2 linked regions of the Drosophila melanogaster genome follow. The protein of the gene in region 1 binds, or shares a complex with, the protein of each later gene. Each region holds a gene or a part of one and is shown on either strand. Other genes may lie near its edges.

Region 1 (10,400 bases):
TTTATGAAATATAATTAAACAATATTTATTTTACTTATAAATCAAAAAACAAATTAAAAATATTAAATATACAAAAAAAAATAAACAAAAAACACAGAACACTAAATACTTGGGACGACTCGATTCACGATTACATGGTCTTCAAGAAAATAAGCCCTTCTGAGCATCGTGGGTTTTATTTTTTTGTTTTCCAGATTTTTTCCAATATATATATTATTATGATTTAATTGTATTTATTTCCCATGATATCACATTTTTGTTCCAGCCTTTCTCGTTTCAAATTCTTGTCATCTTCTTTTCGCCGTTCCCTCCTTTGATGACTTGGATTCCGGGTCCGCCGTGTGTCTCCTCCAAGTTGTCCTTCTTTCGTTTCTCCTGGTCTCGGCCGGTCTGGATAAGGCGTCACACGATGGTCTGTATCTCAGTAAATTTTCTTCTGCGAAATTGTCGCACATTTATTCACAAATTTGCCTTTACTCATTGGCTTCTGCTCCCAAACACCTTTTTCTTTCTTTTTGCTTCACAAAACTTTTCGCTGAGTTTTGGACTTCTTCCAGAAGTTTCTGTCGCTATCGTTCCCACTCTGTCCCCCTATGGGCGCTTTCAATTTTCGGTTTTAGTTTTGTTAATTATCGTATGTGGCTTTCGTAGCCTTAAATCTAATTCTAAATGCTAACATGCATGCTCGGGTCGCCTAGCCTCGGCCTAAGATAATGCGAACGGGTTCGGTTACATGCAGACACGCAGGCATCGTCGCGGCAACATTGCTAACAAACTCTACAAAAATGATCGGAGTACCTCTCCTTAAACCTTAAATATAAAAAAGAGAGAATACTATAGACAAGTTCCCCGTCTATCAAATACCCGTTACACTGCTAGTGTGAATGCGAACTCTAATTTCATTATTTTTCTGGGATATCGATAGATATTGGGGGAAAAAATGAGAAAAAAATTAAAAATTGTTAAAAAATTTGGCGTGACTGGTATGGCGGCTTTAGGGCGTTAAAGTGGGCGTGGCAAAAATCGATAGAAATTTAAGCGACATATACAATTATGAAAAAATATCCAACAATTTTTTTAAAAATGTGGGCGTAGCAGTTTAAACAGTATATTTAAAACTAACTTGTATTATATGTATCTTCTCCTGGAAGTATGTATGTCTGTATGTATAACTAAAATATGAAGCAATGCATGTAGCCAATTGAAATTTGACAGGGTGCTGTAGCTGATGAAACTTCTGTTGCTTTTGGAGCTTCAGCTGAAGAAAAAATGTCGAAAAAAGTAACTAAAACAGCATCAGCTCATTTCTTTTCTAGTAGTGCAAAGTAGAAATTTTACTTAAATCGATAAAAAAATTATAACGTGGCCAAAATATTTTTTTGCTATACATATAGATAGATATTGGCAAGAAAAATACTAAGACAGTAAAATCAAAAGTAGCATAAATCTCTAGCAACAAAAGTTAGGTTTTTTTAAGCATGTTAAAGCAAAAGTTTCCAACGTTAATCTCGTGATTTCTTTTGTGAGTGATGTTACCTCCCACCAATTTTTGTAATTTTCCTTCTTAACTTTCAGAGTTTATTGTCATGAATTTAAGTATGCAGTCCCGTGTGCTGTTGTTGTGCTAACGTATTAAAAATGTATTTTTTTGTAGAAGTGGTATTCAGAGTCAGAAAATTTATTGTGCTAATTGGGGTAAGTTACCTATTTAACAAATCATTGTAATTCGTTTTACCATAAGAAAATTTTGCCATTTAAGCCAAATGCGATTCATTTCAGTATTCAATTATTTTTTAATTATTTTAAATAAAACTCAAAGTAATGATTTACAGTTTTTTCCACAGTTGTTCTTTGTATATAACCAAACTTCAATTAGAGAGAAGAATCCCGTGGGAATCATTCGAAAGTGATTTCTGGAACAGGGCCGATAACTAAATATCTTAAGAGTTCTATATTCGTCGGTAGTTGACTAATACCTTAAATTCAGGCTTTCCCTGCATGTTAGCTCTTTATTACAATCGATAGTAATAAGTACAATCGATAGTAGAGTCGATGAATATGCGGATCGAGGAAAGGCAGAACATTTAACGTACTAGTAAATAGTACATTTAAGAGAAAAGGAAAAGGTTGCACAGTATAATTTGAGAGTGGAAAAAAGGTATTTACGGTATTTCTTATGGTGAACTGTCTAATTTCGCCGGCCTCTAGGGATTCGTTGTTCTTATCATTACCACTTTCAATTTCATTGGAGCTGGAGGTGGAGCTGCCAATGGCCAATGTCTTTTTCATGGAATTTTCGAGTACCTTGGGTACTTTGGATTTCGATATTGTGGGTGCATTAGGTGGCTCCTTACGCTTGCCTGTATTATTTTTAGGCACAAGCATTTGCCAACCGCCAAAGCCACTTTATCCACTTTATAGCCAAACAGATCGCTCGGCGTAGGTGAGAGATAGGCGGTGCTCCGGTACACAAGTAGTCGTCGTGAATTTGTCCGCTGGCACATCTGCACACTGCGAGAGTTCGATCGCGACTGACCCGGCAGATAACCATAAATTCCGAAACCCAGAAGCAGATTAACAAGTTAAATGACACCATCAATAAGGTCATCAGTGCCCGTAAAAACGACTTGGTTGACACTCCACATTTATATGAAGCATTATTGGCAAGAAATAGGATGCTTTTTACAGAAATTTAATTCTTACTATTACTTTGGCCAAATCAAACATTGCAAATCCCACCATTCTTGACCATGCCGACTTGAAGTCTCTTGTAGAACAGGACACCCCTATTGTCAGCTTAATAGAAGCATCCAAGATGAGGGTCCTCCAGTCCGAGAACAGCATTCATATTATAATTGCCTATCCCAGAGTCAAGTTCGGTTGCAAGAAAGTCGCCGTCTACCCTGTATCTCACCAACATCATCATCTTACGCCTCGACGAGGATACGCTGGCCGAATGCAAGCATGACACCTTTGCGGTCACCGAATGCACAGATACCACACACTACACGTTCTGCGAGCGGTCCCGGCGCGAATCTTGTGCGCGCTCGCTCCACGCAGGAAGCGCAGCCCAATGCCACATTCAACCCAGCTACTTGCAAGAAGTACCTCCCGTAGATGACTGCGTTGTGATTATCAACGAAGCAGCAGCTCGTGTTAGCACCAATGGCAGCCCAGAAATACTAGTCGAGGGAACCCACCTGGTGACCTTCGAGCGAACGGCAACCATCAATGGCTCCGAGTTCGTAAACCTACGAAAAGCAAGCAAGCAGCCAGGCATTGTGCGCTCCCCATTACTTAACATACTTAACACCCTGTACTCAGCATCCCTCTGCTTCACCGGATGAATAACGAGAACCTACTCTCCATCCAAAGCTTTAAGGACGACATGGAATCTGAAGGTTCGCCTAAACTCTGGTTCGTAGCTGGTGTGGTCCTAAACGTTGGGTTAATTGGCTCCTTCGCACTTTATCTGGCATTAAGGAGAAGACGAGCCTCCAGGGAGATACAGCGAACCATCGACACTTTTAACATGACCGAGGACGGTCATAAGCCTGAAGGGGGAGTAGTTAGCAACTGATAATGTAATACTTCACAGCTACTAAGAAGCTTTGTATAAACAATGCTGACGCGCTTCATTCTGCCTAACAACTTTTCAACGAATCTAGTATATCCTTTTACTCTAAGAATAACGGGCATCACAAGCAGATAGTAGTGTATATGGATGATAAAGTCGTAGCTACCACAACTGTAGAGGAATTATTTAATTATTAGATCGTATTAGTGAGAACAACAAACAGATTAACCTAAATAAATTTGAAATTTTTAAACCTGAATGAGAATTCCTTGGTTATGAAATGAACCGTACTGGTAGTGAAGCACATCTTGATGCGTTAAAAATAATGTCCTGTATCTCAAAATTTAAGCACCCTTCACTCGTTTCGAATTTCCACCTATTAAAACTAAATGTTTACATATGTATGTAATAACTGTAAGTTGTGGTGCCAATTCACATATTTTAGGATCGGCGGACACAAGCACTCACTTACAAAAGCACAGTTATTTACGTTGCATACAGTATGTCAAGAAACTGTTTACGCACTGTGAAAAAAATTAAACTTTTAACTTTAAAGGTAAAAATTAAGAGTTCTTTGCATACGTAAACTCAATTTTTTATGAAATATAATTAAACAATATTTATTTTACTTATAAATCAAAAAACAAATTAAAAATATTAAATATACAAAAAAAAATAAACAAAAAACACAGAACACTAAATACTTGGGACGACTCGATTCACGATTACATGGTCTTCAAGAAAATAAGCCCTTCTGAGCATCGTGGGTTTTATTTTTTTGTTTTCCAGATTTTTTCCAATATATATATTATTATGATTTAATTGTATTTATTTCCCATGATATCACATTTTTGTTCCAGCCTTTCTCGTTTCAAATTCTTGTCATCTTCTTTTCGCCGTTCCCTCCTTTGATGACTTGGATTCCGGGTCCGCCGTGTGTCTCCTCCAAGTTGTCCTTCTTTCGTTTCTCCTGGTCTCGGCCGGTCTGGATAAGGCGTCACACGATGGTCTGTATCTCAGTAAATTTTCTTCTGCGAAATTGTCGCACATTTATTCACAAATTTGCCTTTACTCATTGGCTTCTGCTCCCAAACACCTTTTTCTTTCTTTTTGCTTCACAAAACTTTTCGCTGAGTTTTGGACTTCTTCCAGAAGTTTCTGTCGCTATCGTTCCCACTCTGTCCCCCTATGGGCGCTTTCAATTTTCGGTTTTAGTTTTGTTAATTATCGTATGTGGCTTTCGTAGCCTTAAATCTAATTCTAAATGCTAACATGCATGCTCGGGTCGCCTAGCCTCGGCCTAAGATAATGCGAACGGGTTCGGTTACATGCAGACACGCAGGCATCGTCGCGGCAACATTGCTAACAAACTCTACAAAAATGATCGGAGTACCTCTCCTTAAACCTTAAATATAAAAAAGAGAGAATACTATAGACAAGTTCCCCGTCTATCAAATACCCGTTACACTGCTAGTGTGAATGCGAACTCTAATTTCATTATTTTTCTGGGATATCGATAGATATTGGGGGAAAAAATGAGAAAAAAATTAAAAATTGTTAAAAAATTTGGCGTGACTGGTATGGCGGCTTTAGGGCGTTAAAGTGGGCGTGGCAAAAATCGATAGAAATTTAAGCGACATATACAATTATGAAAAAATATCCAACAATTTTTTTAAAAATGTGGGCGTAGCAGTTTAAACAGTATATTTAAAACTAACTTGTATTATATGTATCTTCTCCTGGAAGTATGTATGTCTGTATGTATAACTAAAATATGAAGCAATGCATGTAGCCAATTGAAATTTGACAGGGTGCTGTAGCTGATGAAACTTCTGTTGCTTTTGGAGCTTCAGCTGAAGAAAAAATGTCGAAAAAAGTAACTAAAACAGCATCAGCTCATTTCTTTTCTAGTAGTGCAAAGTAGAAATTTTACTTAAATCGATAAAAAAATTATAACGTGGCCAAAATATTTTTTTGCTATACATATAGATAGATATTGGCAAGAAAAATACTAAGACAGTAAAATCAAAAGTAGCATAAATCTCTAGCAACAAAAGTTAGGTTTTTTTAAGCATGTTAAAGCAAAAGTTTCCAACGTTAATCTCGTGATTTCTTTTGTGAGTGATGTTACCTCCCACCAATTTTTGTAATTTTCCTTCTTAACTTTCAGAGTTTATTGTCATGAATTTAAGTATGCAGTCCCGTGTGCTGTTGTTGTGCTAACGTATTAAAAATGTATTTTTTTGTAGAAGTGGTATTCAGAGTCAGAAAATTTATTGTGCTAATTGGGGTAAGTTACCTATTTAACAAATCATTGTAATTCGTTTTACCATAAGAAAATTTTGCCATTTAAGCCAAATGCGATTCATTTCAGTATTCAATTATTTTTTAATTATTTTAAATAAAACTCAAAGTAATGATTTACAGTTTTTTCCACAGTTGTTCTTTGTATATAACCAAACTTCAATTAGAGAGAAGAATCCCGTGGGAATCATTCGAAAGTGATTTCTGGAACAGGGCCGATAACTAAATATCTTAAGAGTTCTATATTCGTCGGTAGTTGACTAATACCTTAAATTCAGGCTTTCCCTGCATGTTAGCTCTTTATTACAATCGATAGTAATAAGTACAATCGATAGTAGAGTCGATGAATATGCGGATCGAGGAAAGGCAGAACATTTAACGTACTAGTAAATAGTACATTTAAGAGAAAAGGAAAAGGTTGCACAGTATAATTTGAGAGTGGAAAAAAGGTATTTACGGTATTTCTTATGGTGAACTGTCTAATTTCGCCGGCCTCTAGGGATTCGTTGTTCTTATCATTACCACTTTCAATTTCATTGGAGCTGGAGGTGGAGCTGCCAATGGCCAATGTCTTTTTCATGGAATTTTCGAGTACCTTGGGTACTTTGGATTTCGATATTGTGGGTGCATTAGGTGGCTCCTTACGCTTGCCTGTATTATTTTTAGGCACAAGCATTTGCCAACCGCCAAAGCCACTTTATCCACTTTATAGCCAAACAGATCGCTCGGCGTAGGTGAGAGATAGGCGGTGCTCCGGTACACAAGTAGTCGTCGTGAATTTGTCCGCTGGCACATCTGCACACTGCGAGAGTTCGATCGCGACTGACCCGGCAGATAACCATAAATTCCGAAACCCAGAAGCAGATTAACAAGTTAAATGACACCATCAATAAGGTCATCAGTGCCCGTAAAAACGACTTGGTTGACACTCCACATTTATATGAAGCATTATTGGCAAGAAATAGGATGCTTTTTACAGAAATTTAATTCTTACTATTACTTTGGCCAAATCAAACATTGCAAATCCCACCATTCTTGACCATGCCGACTTGAAGTCTCTTGTAGAACAGGACACCCCTATTGTCAGCTTAATAGAAGCATCCAAGATGAGGGTCCTCCAGTCCGAGAACAGCATTCATATTATAATTGCCTATCCCAGAGTCAAGTTCGGTTGCAAGAAAGTCGCCGTCTACCCTGTATCTCACCAACATCATCATCTTACGCCTCGACGAGGATACGCTGGCCGAATGCAAGCATGACACCTTTGCGGTCACCGAATGCACAGATACCACACACTACACGTTCTGCGAGCGGTCCCGGCGCGAATCTTGTGCGCGCTCGCTCCACGCAGGAAGCGCAGCCCAATGCCACATTCAACCCAGCTACTTGCAAGAAGTACCTCCCGTAGATGACTGCGTTGTGATTATCAACGAAGCAGCAGCTCGTGTTAGCACCAATGGCAGCCCAGAAATACTAGTCGAGGGAACCCACCTGGTGACCTTCGAGCGAACGGCAACCATCAATGGCTCCGAGTTCGTAAACCTACGAAAAGCAAGCAAGCAGCCAGGCATTGTGCGCTCCCCATTACTTAACATACTTAACACCCTGTACTCAGCATCCCTCTGCTTCACCGGATGAATAACGAGAACCTACTCTCCATCCAAAGCTTTAAGGACGACATGGAATCTGAAGGTTCGCCTAAACTCTGGTTCGTAGCTGGTGTGGTCCTAAACGTTGGGTTAAGTGGCTCCTTCGCACTTTATCTGGCATTAAGGAGAAGACGAGCCTCCAGGGAGATACAGCGAACCATCGACACTTTTAACATGACCGAGGACGGTCATAAGCCTGAAGGGGGAGTAGTTAGCAACTGATAATGTAATACTTCACAGCTACTAAGAAGCTTTGTATAAACAATGCTGACGCGCTTCATTCTGCCTAACAACTTTTCAACGAATCTAGTATATCCTTTTACTCTAAGAATAACGGGCATCACAAGCAGATAGTAGTGTATATGGATGATAAAGTCGTAGCTACCACAACTGTAGAGGAATTATTTAATTATTAGATCGTATTAGTGAGAACAACAAACAGATTAACCTAAATAAATTTGAAATTTTTAAACCTGAATGAGAATTCCTTGGTTATGAAATGAACCGTACTGGTAGTGAAGCACATCTTGATGCGTTAAAAATAATGTCCTGTATCTCAAAATTTAAGCACCCTTCACTCGTTTCGAATTTCCACCTATTAAAACTAAATGTTTACATATGTATGTAATAACTGTAAGTTGTGGTGCCAATTCACATATTTTAGGATCGGCGGACACAAGCACTCACTTACAAAAGCACAGTTATTTACGTTGCATACAGTATGTCAAGAAACTGTTTACGCACTGTGAAAAAAATTAAACTTTTAACTTTAAAGGTAAAAATTAAGAGTTCTTTGCATACGTAAACTCAATTTTTTATGAAATATAATTAAACAATATTTATTTTACTTATAAATCAAAAAACAAATTAAAAATATTAAATATACAAAAAAAATAAACAAAAAACACAGAACACTAAATACTTGGGACGACTCGATTCACGATTACATGGTCTTCAAGAAAATAAGCCCTTCTGAGCATCGTGGGTTTTATTTTTTTGTTTTCCAGATTTTTTCCAATATATATATTATTATGATTTAATTGTATTTATTTCCCATGATATCACATTTTTGTTCCAGCCTTTCTCGTTTCAAATTCTTGTCATCTTCTTTTCGCCGTTCCCTCCTTTGATGACTTGGATTCCGGGTCCGCCGTGTGTCTCCTCCAAGTTGTCCTTCTTTCGTTTCTCCTGGTCTCGGCCGGTCTGGATAAGGCGTCACACGATGGTCTGTATCCCAGTAAATTTTCTTCTGCGAAATTGTCGCACATTTATTCACAAATTTGCCTTTACTCATTGGCTTCTGCTCCCAAACACCTTTTTCGTTCTTTTTGCTTCACAAAACTTTTCGCTGAGTTTTGGACTTCTTCCAGAAGTTTCTGTCGCTATCGTTCCCACTCTGTCCCCCTATGGGCGCTTTCAATTTTCGGTTTTAGTTTTGTTAATTATCGTATGTGGCTTTCGTAGCCTTAAATCTAATTCTAAATGCTAACATGCATGCTCGGGTCGCCTAGCCTCGGCCTAAGATAATGCGAACGGGTTCGGTTACATGCAGACACGCAGGCATCGTCGCGGCAACATTGCTAACAAACTCTACAAAAATGATCGGAGTACCTCTCCTTAAACCTTAAATATAAAAAAGAGAGAATACTATAGACAAGTTCCCCGTCTATCAAATACCCGTTACACTGCTAGTGTGAATGCGAACTCTAATTTCATTATTTTTCTGGGATATCGATAGATATTGGGGGAAAAAATGAGAAAAAAATTAAAAATTGTTAAAAAATTTGGCGTGACTGGTATGGCGGCTTTAGGGCGTTAAAGTGGGCGTGGCAAAAATCGATAGAAATTTAAGCGACATATACAATTATGAAAAAATATCCAACAATTTTTTTAAAAATGTGGGCGTAGCAGTTTAAACAGTATATTTAAAACTAACTTGTATTATATGTATCTTCTCCTGGAAGTATGTATGTCTGTATGTATAACTAAAATATGAAGCAATGCATGTAGCCAATTGAAATTTGACAGGTGGCTGTAGCTGATGAAACTTCTGTTGCTTTTGGAGCTTCAGCTGAAGAAAAAATGTCGAAAAAAGTAACTAAAACAGCATCAGCTCATTTCTTTTCTAGTAGTGCAAAGTAGAAATTTTACTTAAATCGATAAAAAAATTATAACGTGGCCAAAATATTTTTTTGCTATACATATAGATAGATATTGGCAAGAAAAATACTAAGACAGTAAAATCAAAAGTAGCATAAATCTCTAGCAACAAAAGTTAGGTTTTTTTAAGCATGTTAAAGCAAAAGTTTCCAACGTTAATCTCGTGATTTCTTTTGTGAGTGATGTTACCTCCCACCAATTTTTGTAATTTTCCTTCTTAACTTTCAGAGTTTATTGTCATGAATTTAAGTATGCAGTCCCGTGTGCTGTTGTTGTGCTAACGTATTAAAAATGTATTTTTTTGTAGAAGTGGTATTCAGAGTCAGAAAATTTATTGTGCTAATTGGGGTAAGTTACCTATTTAACAAATCATTGTAATTCGTTTTACCATAAGAAAATTTTGCCATTTAAGCCAAATGCGATTCATTTCAGTATTCAATTATTTTTTAATTATTTTAAATAAAACTCAAAGTAATGATTTACAGTTTTTTCCACAGTTGTTCTTTGTATATAACCAAACTTCAATTAGAGAGAAGAATCCAGTGGGAATCATTCGAAAGTGACATCTGGAACAGGGCCGATAACTAAATATCTTAAGAGTTCTATATTCGTCGGTAGTTGACTAATACCTTAAATTCAGGCTTTCCCTGCATGTTAGCTCTTTATTACAATCGATAGTAATAAGTACAATCGATAGTAGAGTCGATGAA
Region 2 (10,632 bases), on another chromosome or scaffold:
TGGGACTTACCATAATGTAGTGATTAATGGTTATGTCTGATGGTCGATCGGTGATTAGGAACTTCATGCCCTTGTACTCAATTAGAGCGGGCGCTGGGCGCAGATCTTTTTGACGCATGGTGATGCTCATAAACAATTACAAAAGCTGTTCTGAAGGACTTAATCTGGCTCGTGTGCACTTAAGTCTGTTTTCTTACAATCTTGAGGTGTGGTTTTTGTTTCGTTTTCACAAAGATTTGATTGGTTTCTTTTAACGGAAGTAGTTTGATTTCTAGATTAAAAATTCAGCGTGTTAGAGGCTTACAATTGAATCTTGTTTAGGCTAGAGTTATGTATAAAAAATAAATATAAATATAAATATAATTAACTCTTTTCGTATCGTATCTTAAATGTTTTACACCAAAACACAAACTTAGTTTAAGTATCGTTTAAGTAAAATTAGTTCTTTTTCTTTTCAATTAAGTACAATTATGGATTTTTTCTGCTATCACAAAGAAAATCAATCAATTTTCTTTGACTGAAAAAAGGGTTCCCTGTTAAGTGTCACACGTATTTTTTAAGCTAACAAAAATGATTTGGGCTCAGTTCCCGTTTTGTTTTCGAAAATATTACAACTTTTTCAAGGTTTCGTTGTTAAAAATTTAAATATATCCTTGCTGTGATATGATCTGTGATCACCGCGATGCTTTGAATTTAGTATTCTTCTTTCTCTCCCATAGATCGACAGTCTTTGGCTAATTGATGCCGCTGCTGTCGCCGCTATTTCAGCTGATCCGTTGACGGTATTATTCTGATGGTATCCACACCACTTATCTATCGATGGCGACTTCCGAAGTGGTGACTGTGTTTACTCAGGCTATCTCCGCCTTTTTGTAGGATTGCTTACCTGCAAAGAGTGAGACTAGAATGAGTTCAATATTCCAGACAAATCTGGCGCAAGTCGGTTTGAGCTTCTTTCTCGCGACTCCCATTGTTCATTTAATTGAAAACAATTCGTGGGAAACTAAAAAACAATTTAGCTCAATTACACGCAATGAAATAATTGAGACTTTCGCCATTTTCGTCTCGCACGACACTCTCTTTTTATCCGCGATGTTCTTCGGGGCGGGTCAAGCCGTCAATTGTCCAGAAAGGTCACAGTGCTTTGTTCACTGTAAGTCAAGTGACCTTTCCATGGCCAGCAAGTGTACCGCCCGTGCCACTTGAGCTAATTAATTAAACGAAAAGTCCATATACCCTACAAAAATAATCCATACTCACTTTTTATTTGTGCTGTGCCTGGCAGTATTCTGCACTGTCTAGATGAAACTCCATAGATGTGGGAACAGGTCTAACCAACTGCAAAAGAGAAATAAAATGTTGGGACAACATTCAGTATCACATTTAAATGAAATGAAAATTGAAAAAAAGCTAGAAATATTTTTGTAGGAATTTATTTGACCACCATTTGCAATCGAGAAATGAAGAATGTTTGTAAACATTACCAGCTAAAAGCGTTTATTGGAAATAAATTGTATACAAAAAAATCGATTTGCAAGTCAATTCCAAAGTGATACATAAAAATTATAATTGAAATAAATAAATTAATTATAAAACTGGTGCATTACAATCGAAATCATTCAAGGGTTAGGGCTCACGTTGTACATAATATACATATATTGTACAATTTTGAAACAGGTGCCATAAGCATACAAAAATAATTTCAACATTTTTAGGATTTACCAACTTTTGCAATACTTAATTAGCAACCAAAATAGCCAATTTAGAATAAATAAAAGAAAACCGCCTTTATCAACTGAAATTTATCTGCGAGAACCAGAAAACATACGCAAGGAAAATCGTTGAAGTGGATTTTAAATGTATTGGTCGCCTGCTGTCTGAAAAAAAAAATATTAAAAATATTCCCTAAAAGTGATCCAAGATAATGACTGCTCATTTCCACGACCGTTTACATTATTTATATTCCGTTGATGATCATGAAAAGCATATGTATAAAATGAGTTCACAAATATAAAGACCGAAACAGAACAATGATTGTATAATATGTATTTCGCATATATACGTGTATATCCACACAAACGCGATAACTCTTTAAGCAAATATTCCATTTTCTATGGCCCCAGTGCGACCTGTGTTTATTTTTGCACTTTTGCCTAAAGTAGGCGAATATTTCTCTCGAAAATTGGCCAATTCCTTATGTTAAAGGCATTTCGATTATGGTATGTATTGGAGAATCCATTGTGGAATAGCTAGTGATATTGAAACGCGTGAAACTAATTAAGAAGCGGGCGCAAAAAAATAAAAACAAAACATATAAAAGGAACACTTTGTTGATAGAACTGAAAACTTTCACTTCTTCTCGGAATGCACCTAGTATATACCAGTACATTCTAGATTTGTCAGTGTGTGTGTGTGTTTACCTCATGACACGTTAAGCAACAACACTTTTTGTTGATGCTATATTTCCCAGTCGGTTTTTACTTGTGACTTATGCAATGTATTTTTTGTTTTGCGTCTTGGCGAAATTGAAAAATCACACAGGCAAATATATATGTAAATATCTATATATACATAGGTATTTCGCTATGCATTTAAGCAAATACAGTGATTAGTTGCTGATTACGACGGGGCGGCTTGTAACCCGTTGATATGGACTCCCGATTAGATATCGACAGGTGTTTGCCGGAAGACACTAATCGATTTTATCCGCGGATCGTAAAGCTTTCTCTCCTATCAGTTAATTCGAATATACTGAGGATTGGTCCTCCACATTCAGATTTGCCAGCGGATAAATTGTATTTACCTATCGTTAATCGCCCGTTATACGGCGAGATAGTATCTCGATTAAATATCGACAAGTGTCGATTCTGAGACGTTGATCGATTACGATTACCACAATAAGTAGACGCGTATTGCTGCGTGATGAGCACTCTCTCATGTTTTGCTATCGACTGGCGATTGTCAACTCTTCGCCGCCCATTTTACGCCACGGAAACGGCCGCTCCGTCCGGCAGTAAGTCTCCATTGCCGGGGAGAACGAAGAGAGAGTCGTGACGCACATCTCTCCAATCGCTCACGCAGAGAGCGAAAAAAAATTATCTACAGTCTGGTGCATATTTAAAGCGCTTTAAAAAGTCTGTTGTGCAAAAACAATAGAGGCAGGAAAAATAGAAACAATTTGCTTGGTTAGTTTTACTTTTCTACTGTTGAACATAATTAGCAGAGTTCAATGGACCATGAAAGGGCGAATTTTGTGCTTACTAAAAATGTTTAAATTTTAAAGCATTTTATTCGTTCTGGTATAGTAGTGACAATATAAGTAGTTCTGATTTAAAATCACGAGGGTATTTATTTTAAAATGTTAAATTGTTTAATTTTAGAAACTAGACAACAAGTTAGTTTGTATTCTGTTCTTTTTAAATATAGATCTTAAAATATTTTTTTCGACTTCGTCTCTGAAATAAGTTTCGAAAATAAACTCTACTAAAATTTTGAATATACCTGTATTTTCGAAGAAACGCAAATCATATTGACATTACCTAACAAACACTTATATTTATGACCAATACAAATTATTTCGCGTTAATGGCTTGGTATTTTAAAGTGCCAAAATGCTTATAGACATATAATCCGTAGGATATTCAAATAACTGTGTGGAAACGCTTTTTAAATCGGGGAATAAATAAATGATTGATAAGATCTTTAGCATATAAAGGTTTTTTTCCCCATCTAGCTACCTGACTTGGAAAGTGTTCAAATACAGCGAAGGAAAGTTTTGCAGTCAGATTATAACTTTTACGGGATGCCAAGGTCAGTCGTTATTTAAGGGCAATAAACAAAGCTAAATGCGGTTTATATTATGCACAGTTAATGAAGGCTACGGCGCACACAAACGTGTAACTTAATATGAAATTAGTCTTACATTTAAACCAGTTGATTATAATCGAGATGTAGGCAAATGGCATGACGACACTAATACCAAATTGCGGCTATATTGTTACTCGCTATATACAAACATACATGCATACATATGTACACATTTGTTCCACTTGAATGCTCCTCGCTACATACACAGATTTTCAAATACATTTTCCAATCAGTTAATACATCATAATGTCTTTAAACGACGAGTTTAATGAAATCAAACTTTTGATTCAAATCAACATAAAGATATTCGTGCAATTAGACAAAACTTCTTAACAGACTATTGTATCTTTGACAAAAAATACTTTTTGTTCTCTCCGAGGTAGCAGATGGTTTTGTCTGTGCGGAAAGTTGATTGGACTTTCCCGAAACAGGAGCAGACGACTTAGACCGAGGGCCAGACAAGAAGGAAACAAAGAACAAGGAACCGATGAAATCTGGAGGTAAGAAAGCAAACACAACTGAATGCCGGTGTGTCTGAGTTTGGATTCGGGGTTCAAAGTACTTCAATTCCAGTTCCCTTTTCTTTTTTTTTTTTTTTGTTTGTCCCCTCTTTCAGTTTTTGTTTAGACTTCGACTGCAATCCTGGCAAACAAGATCGCCCGATTTACGCCAATAATCACAGACTTGCAAAAAATAGTAGTAAAAGGTTGTAAACAAATTGAAAATGACTAACGGACGGGAAATGTGATGAGGGTAACTGCCACTCAAGCCTCAACTTACTAAGCTAAAGTCTGTCCACGGGTGTCAATAAAACCGGAGACGTGCCGAAAAAAAAAGCCAGACATAACGCAGACACTAAGAATACATTAAGTCTTATACACTTATTAAAAAAACAAAAACTAGCTACCTACATGGGGTAGAAAGCTGGTAGACTAAACATTCAATAAAACAGTACACTGTTACCAACTTGGAACTTAAATCATTGGAATCATTGGTATCTTAAATGAATATTGAGAATAATTGTAAATGATTTAGGATCAATAGATATAAATTCATCTTACAATAAATGTATAGTCAAGAAGATTGATATAGATAGATTGATATAGATAGATAGATATAGATAGATACGAGATATAGATAGATATAGATATAGATATAAAGCAAGCAAGAACCTTTTTTGTACTGCCAAACACATGAAAACCAAAACTTTTCTAAGTTTTGTTCACCTTAGATATTCGCGGCACGCTTTCAGATCAGATAAGTATGGGTATTGGAAACCCAAGTCAAATGAAAAGACAGCAAAAAAAAACACAGACCAAGCTCGAGTTATTGATTTTGCGCGACTAGCAAAGGAGGAAGGGCGATGTCCAAGCCCCAGCACCAACACCATCTCCATCTCCATCCATCCGCGATTTCCGTATTTCGCCATAATGGAAATTTTAAGTTTGCCCCGAAGCGTCTCGAGTGCTGCGAACCAGGAGGAGATGAGCAGGAAATGGTGGCCCCACCACGGGGGCAACTAGGATCTCAAACCGCCTTTTTCTAGTTGCCAAGTGGTCGCGCTGTTTTTCGTGACGCACCAGGCGGCGACTTCTCATGCGTCATCAACGACTTTTAATCGGAAAACAGCTGTTGTTGTTTTGTTTTGATAAAATGCAACCAAAACAAAAATAAATAAGCAATCTTGTCTCGTTATTGCAATTATCGAATGCATGCCTTCTCCTGCCACAAATTGCAGGTCCTTCAAGGTTGATTTACAGACAAGGATTACGTACATACATGCATAGTACATCAACAAAAAAGTGCCATTTTCCTGGTTAGTTTTGGGTACTGTGTACCTTAACCAAGGGCAGGCCAAAACTATTGAGGACAAACAGCGCCGCATTTATCGCGCACTATATATAGAATCCGGGGGTGGTCGGTGACATTTTCCCCTCCCATTTTCCACCAATCTACCACCCTCCACCCTCCACTGACGTTTGTAAATCGTATTGCATGCTTTGTTGTTCGCTTTTTGGTCTATTTTTGGATATGACATGTATTGGTGAAATTCTGCACACAAGCGGCCAAAACGTGACAGCAGTAAAAAAAAAAAAAAAAATAATACAGCACAATGATATATAACCGCGAAAAGTAGTCTGAAAGTTCGCAACTCTCATGCTACTTCGATATTTCTAATTAGCGAGTTCTTGACTTCTTCCTAACTAATGTGCGAGTGTATTTAATTAGCTGGCTGTAGAATTTAAGCTGCCGCTACTGTACGAGTATGACCTCAAAAGACCGTGAAATATACATTTATCTACATTCAATTAATTTTGAGAATTTCTATAATTACAACTTGACACATTTATAGATTTGGTTACAGATCACGGAGCAGTGAAAGTTGTAAATTTTAAATAAGTTTAATTTCGGTAATTGTCGAGTAAGCAAATTTATCGCACAACAACAAAAATTAAGAAGATGTTGAAGATGTTCAGAAAGATCCAATAAATTGCACTAAATCAAAATGACCTCAAACAAATTTGCTGGAAGCATTTCAATGAACGAAAGTATTGCCACACATTTCGAGGAATTCAATTGGCTTTCGATTCGATTGTGTGCGTGGGAATATGGAATATTTTAGAACTGGCGGAAAGCAGATAAACCCAGACAACAAAATACAAACAGCTGGAATACAAAATAACCAAGAAGCGTATACGTAATCTCTACACTGAGTTGAGATACATGTAGTAGTACTCTTGATAAGAAAATGGAATTTAATGCAATGCTAGATAGATAGGTATTCAATCTTGAAAAATGTATATCTGTATGATTGAAAGGAACCCTACCAAATTAATCGAGTTTTGTAATCGATGCGTTCAAGTTATGACGTCTTTTCGTATGAGTTTGTTCGGTATATTTTTGATAAAGTCAAACCGGATTTTAAAATTCTTCCCTTGGCTGATACGCTTATCTGCTCGCTCTTTTTTATCACGGATAAATAAAAAGAGAGAATGAAACCGAAAGAGATTCTTTTCTTTCTTTTGTTTGTATTGCCGTGGCCGGGGCACTATCATTGAACTTGTTCAAGGACAAGAGACCCCAAACGGAAATAAAAGGGAGAGAGCACAAGAAATCTGACAAGAGAACCGGTTAAAAAATGGATATCGTTGGGATTTTCAACCACCGGTTGGCGTATAATTGATATTCCTTTGGTGCGTATGGGACAGTTTCAGTTGCCAGGTTCCATTTCTATACCGCTTATACCGCTTTCAATACCAATTGACGCAATTTGCTGATATCGATTAGCAAACAGTGCGATCAAGATAAACACAGGTGGAAAAAATGCGAAAATTCGAGATAACAGCAAATCACAGCCAAACCTTGTTGAGTAACAACTGATTGTAAAATTGAAAGCTATGAACGAAGGCAATCTTTTTGCACTACAACTTTGCTCCGTCCACATTTGTTCAGTATAAAATGCCAACTGATTTGGCTGTTTTGTTCTAAAAAAAACAATTTCTCTCGGCCATGTCTTTTGTTTACTGTTTGCTCTGCCGCTTTGATATGATATAAATCTGCTCGAAATGTCTTCAACAGATTAGATATTAGATTAGAATCTACGTGTATGTACCTAGCAAATGACGTATGAAGATGATAAAAACTGCCAAAAAAAATAAGAGAAATAAACTTTAACTGGTGCAGTGCAAAATAGTTTTGGTCCCGTCCTAGTTCCGTTCGGATGGTAAAACTGGGTCAGCTGACATTTATTTTCAACTGGCGAAGGCAGTTAACCAGGTAACTGGGTCGAATGAAAGTAAAATGCGTGAAGTTACCCATTTATTGAAGTATATGATTGTTGTGTATGATAACAAATGGGACATTACATTACTTTCCTTAACGTTTTTTATGCAAGCACAGCAGAATTTGCAATTCGATTAATTTGATTGCGAAGAAAAGAATATTATTCATAGCAATTACACAGATTTGTTGGTATTTTGAGAAGAATACATTTAAAAAGTTCACATTCATATTTATAAAAAACGTAAACACAATTAGTTTATAACATATTCTAGTTTTACAAGATGACAATTGTTTATAGTTTTTGCACAGACAAATAAAAATGTAACTGGTTGATATATACTAAAAAAAAATTTAAACAAATTCCAGAAACTATTTCTAATGCCAACATGTTTTTTAAGACTATTTTTCGAATAAAACAAACAAAATCCAGTTAGAAATTGTTTAAACGAAAAAAATTGAATGTAAATGCCAACGCACGCACACAAGCACACATACTTTGTGGCTCAGTAGTTGTGCGAGTGTTCGTTGACGTTCGAAACAATTTATGCAACAAAAATGTATTATTTAAAAACTTGCGGCTGTAGCCGATCCCCTGCCGCACTTACCACAATTGCCATACACATTTGAGTATAACTTTTGAAGCTTTTTCGTTGCTTTTCGTGCACGAGAAAATTGAATTCACGTCCACACGCACACACAGACGCACCGCGAGACTCTCACCGACACGAATTCCACGAATGCAATTGGCTGGTGTGTGTTGCCTTTTACGACACAACTATTGCTCTTATTGCAACTGTAAATTGATTGTATCTTTAGCTTAAGTGTTTTTTATTGAATAGGATTGTTAAACTTTGGTTTTTCAGCGACATTAACGCAAAATTCATCTGCAGCTTAACCTCAAATTTCTTTGTGTCTGTCACGCACACACACACACAAACACAGTCAGCACGGGGCGGAACCAATGGTATAAGATGAATCTATCAATTTGACATGAATTAATCGGGCGAAAATAATATCTGTAGTTTCCAGCACGGATTGCACAATTTTTTCTACCGATTTCCAAGAGCAAAGTACTTGTAATCGAAGTAGGCGTTGCGAACAATTCGCTCGTTTGTGTTGGTAGACACGGATGGTGATTATATTCGATAATCTCGAACACTCGATAGAGCCGATAGTATCGAGTGCAATTAAGTGTTAGATAAACATCGATTGCGGGCAGAATCGATACTTTTTTGTAATAATTTAATTACCTATTTTGCAATTGTCTTTTAAAAACAGTTTTTTTTATTTTAAATGTAAGATGTGATTTTAAAGGAAGTTGTACAATATATATACATATATATTTATTTATAAACCGACATAAAATATATAATATTTTCAATATGTCACATACTTTCTTTTCTTATTCATCCAATAAGTCGTCTTATTTTGATTCTTGGTCTGTCCTTCCGAGAATATTCCAATTAAAATTATTCTCTATTGAAAAGAACTACCCTACTATTTACATTCGTAGTATCGCAACAGCAAGCGGCGATCTGAATTAGTCATCTTATCTCTTTCCGACAGAAGTGACGATCAATAGCCCAACGATTTTAAACGCTTTACTTCGAAGAACCTTAAATCGCCAATTTATCCAGAGGGGAATGTCCAAGCGCAAGGCCGAGGACACACAATCCGACAAAATGGCAACGGCCGAGAAAGTAGCACAGGTAATAAGCAACAGCCATAGAAAATAAACAAAAATAGTTTACAAACAATAACAACTATTGTCTGGACAGAACGATTACACCATTGGCCTGGTGGATCCCGTTAAGGATTACCAAAAGCTTATCGAAACACGCGTGCAGGTAGACGAAATCGTGGATGATGATGTCACCAAGGAGAATTTCGATCGAACGGCTGCAGCGGCGCGTGACGTCATCTGGCGGCTGTTATTCGACGAGGCCGGTACCTCGCAATCGAACACAGAGAAGGCCAGCCAATTGCTGGAGGAATACCGTGGTGACGCCTGCTTCTACGACCCGACGCCGTACAACGAATGGATTGTCAAGCTGAGGGATGAGGTTCTAAAGAAGGAACTCCTCGACTTTTGGCGCGATGTGCTGGTGAAGAAGCAACTCGGTCCCTGTTGGTCACGCGACAGTGATCTCTTTGACAGCGACGACACCCCGCCATTGGAGTTCTATGCCCATGCCGGTTGTACCGCTCCATTTGCAGCCAGCTTAAAGGTGCGCGCAGCACTCGAGGAGCAGGCTTCGCTGGATCAGGATGGGCCAGCGACGCCTACAACTCCGGGTGAACTGAGTGCCGATGATGCCGCCGCTCTGTCTGGCGAATTTGAGGCCACCCTGACCAAGGAAAATCCGCTCGAGGAATACCGAACTCTAATGAAGCGCTTTGTTCTGACCAAAATCATCGTTCCGGACAGCGTTCACCAGGCCAGCGTGAAGAAGATAGCGGCAGCCGCCAGGGAGATAATCTGGAAGCTGCTCTTCGATGGCACACCCTCAGCGGAGGATCAAAACAAGGCCGCCGAGCTGCTGCAGGAGTACAAGGGTGATGCTGGTTTCTATGGGCCCGACGACTACAACAGTTGGATTTTCAATCTGAGGGATGAGGTTCTCACCAAAGAGCTTCTCGACTTTTGGCGCGACAAGATGGTGAAAATGGAACTTGGTCCCAGTTGCGCCCGCGATTCCGACTATTACGACAACGAGGATCCGCTGCCATTCGAGTTTTACGAAAAGGCTGGTTGCAAGGCTCCCTTTGAAGGACCTGTAAATGATGATTAGTAGTGCATCTTTCATGACTGAAGGATTGTTTCCTTATGTACTAAAACACCTATTCTGGTCGTAATCTCTGAAGGCACACACAGTAAAGCATTTCAATATCTGAATTATGTTTCGAAATGTTAGAAATTGTTTAAAAATGAATAAAATGATAAGTATTTTATAACTGTTCTCAAAAATAGTGGTCCTTTTT

Evidence for each region.
Region 2: the proteins of uex (region 1) and PRL-1 are in contact, whole or in part, in a crystal structure (PDB 8CT8), measured with the Drosophila melanogaster proteins. Residues at the interface, in NP_001104390.2 of Drosophila melanogaster: Leu391, Val422, Thr423, Lys442, Cys445, Glu446, Gln449, Asn450, Pro451, Phe454, Phe456, Asp458, His480, Val482, Asn484, Gly488, Asp489, Pro490, Phe491, Tyr492; in NP_001260487.1 of Drosophila melanogaster: Asp32, Ile33, Thr34, Ile35, Asn36, His37, Asp77, Gly78, Cys109, Ala111, Leu113, Gly114, Arg115, Arg142, Arg143, Gly144, Ile146, Asn147, Gln150.

Annotation. Positions count from the first base shown.
Region 1 is NT_033778.4:3,943,530-3,953,929, reverse strand, and holds the start of uex (unextended), read left to right. Parts: upstream 1-4,504; 5' UTR 4,505-4,584; exon of another isoform or gene 4,585-5,082; intron 5,083-5,708; exon of another isoform or gene 5,709-6,330; intron 6,331-9,879; exon of another isoform or gene 9,880-9,918; 5' UTR 9,919-10,400. UniProt on the Drosophila melanogaster protein: Probable metal transporter. Acts downstream of PRL-1 and protects the nervous system against olfactory carbon dioxide stimulation.
Region 2 is NT_033779.5:16,248,821-16,259,452, forward strand, and holds the start of PRL-1 (PRL-1 phosphatase), read right to left. Parts: upstream 8,787-10,632; 5' UTR 8,256-8,786; intron 7,336-8,255; exon of another isoform or gene 7,230-7,335; intron 2,969-7,229; exon of another isoform or gene 2,939-2,968; coding exon of another isoform or gene 2,810-2,938; exon of another isoform or gene 2,421-2,809; intron 1,339-2,420; 5' UTR 1,261-1,338; intron 887-1,260; 5' UTR 131-886; coding exon 11-130; intron 1-10. Other genes in the region: CG46309 (uncharacterized protein), read right to left, coding at 2,810-2,938; EndoGI (endonuclease G inhibitor), read left to right, coding at 9,294-9,359, 9,429-10,442. UniProt on the Drosophila melanogaster protein: Probable phosphatase. Inhibits growth possibly by negatively regulating Src64B-induced growth. Regulates central nervous system circuit formation and stabilization of synapse-dense terminal arbors.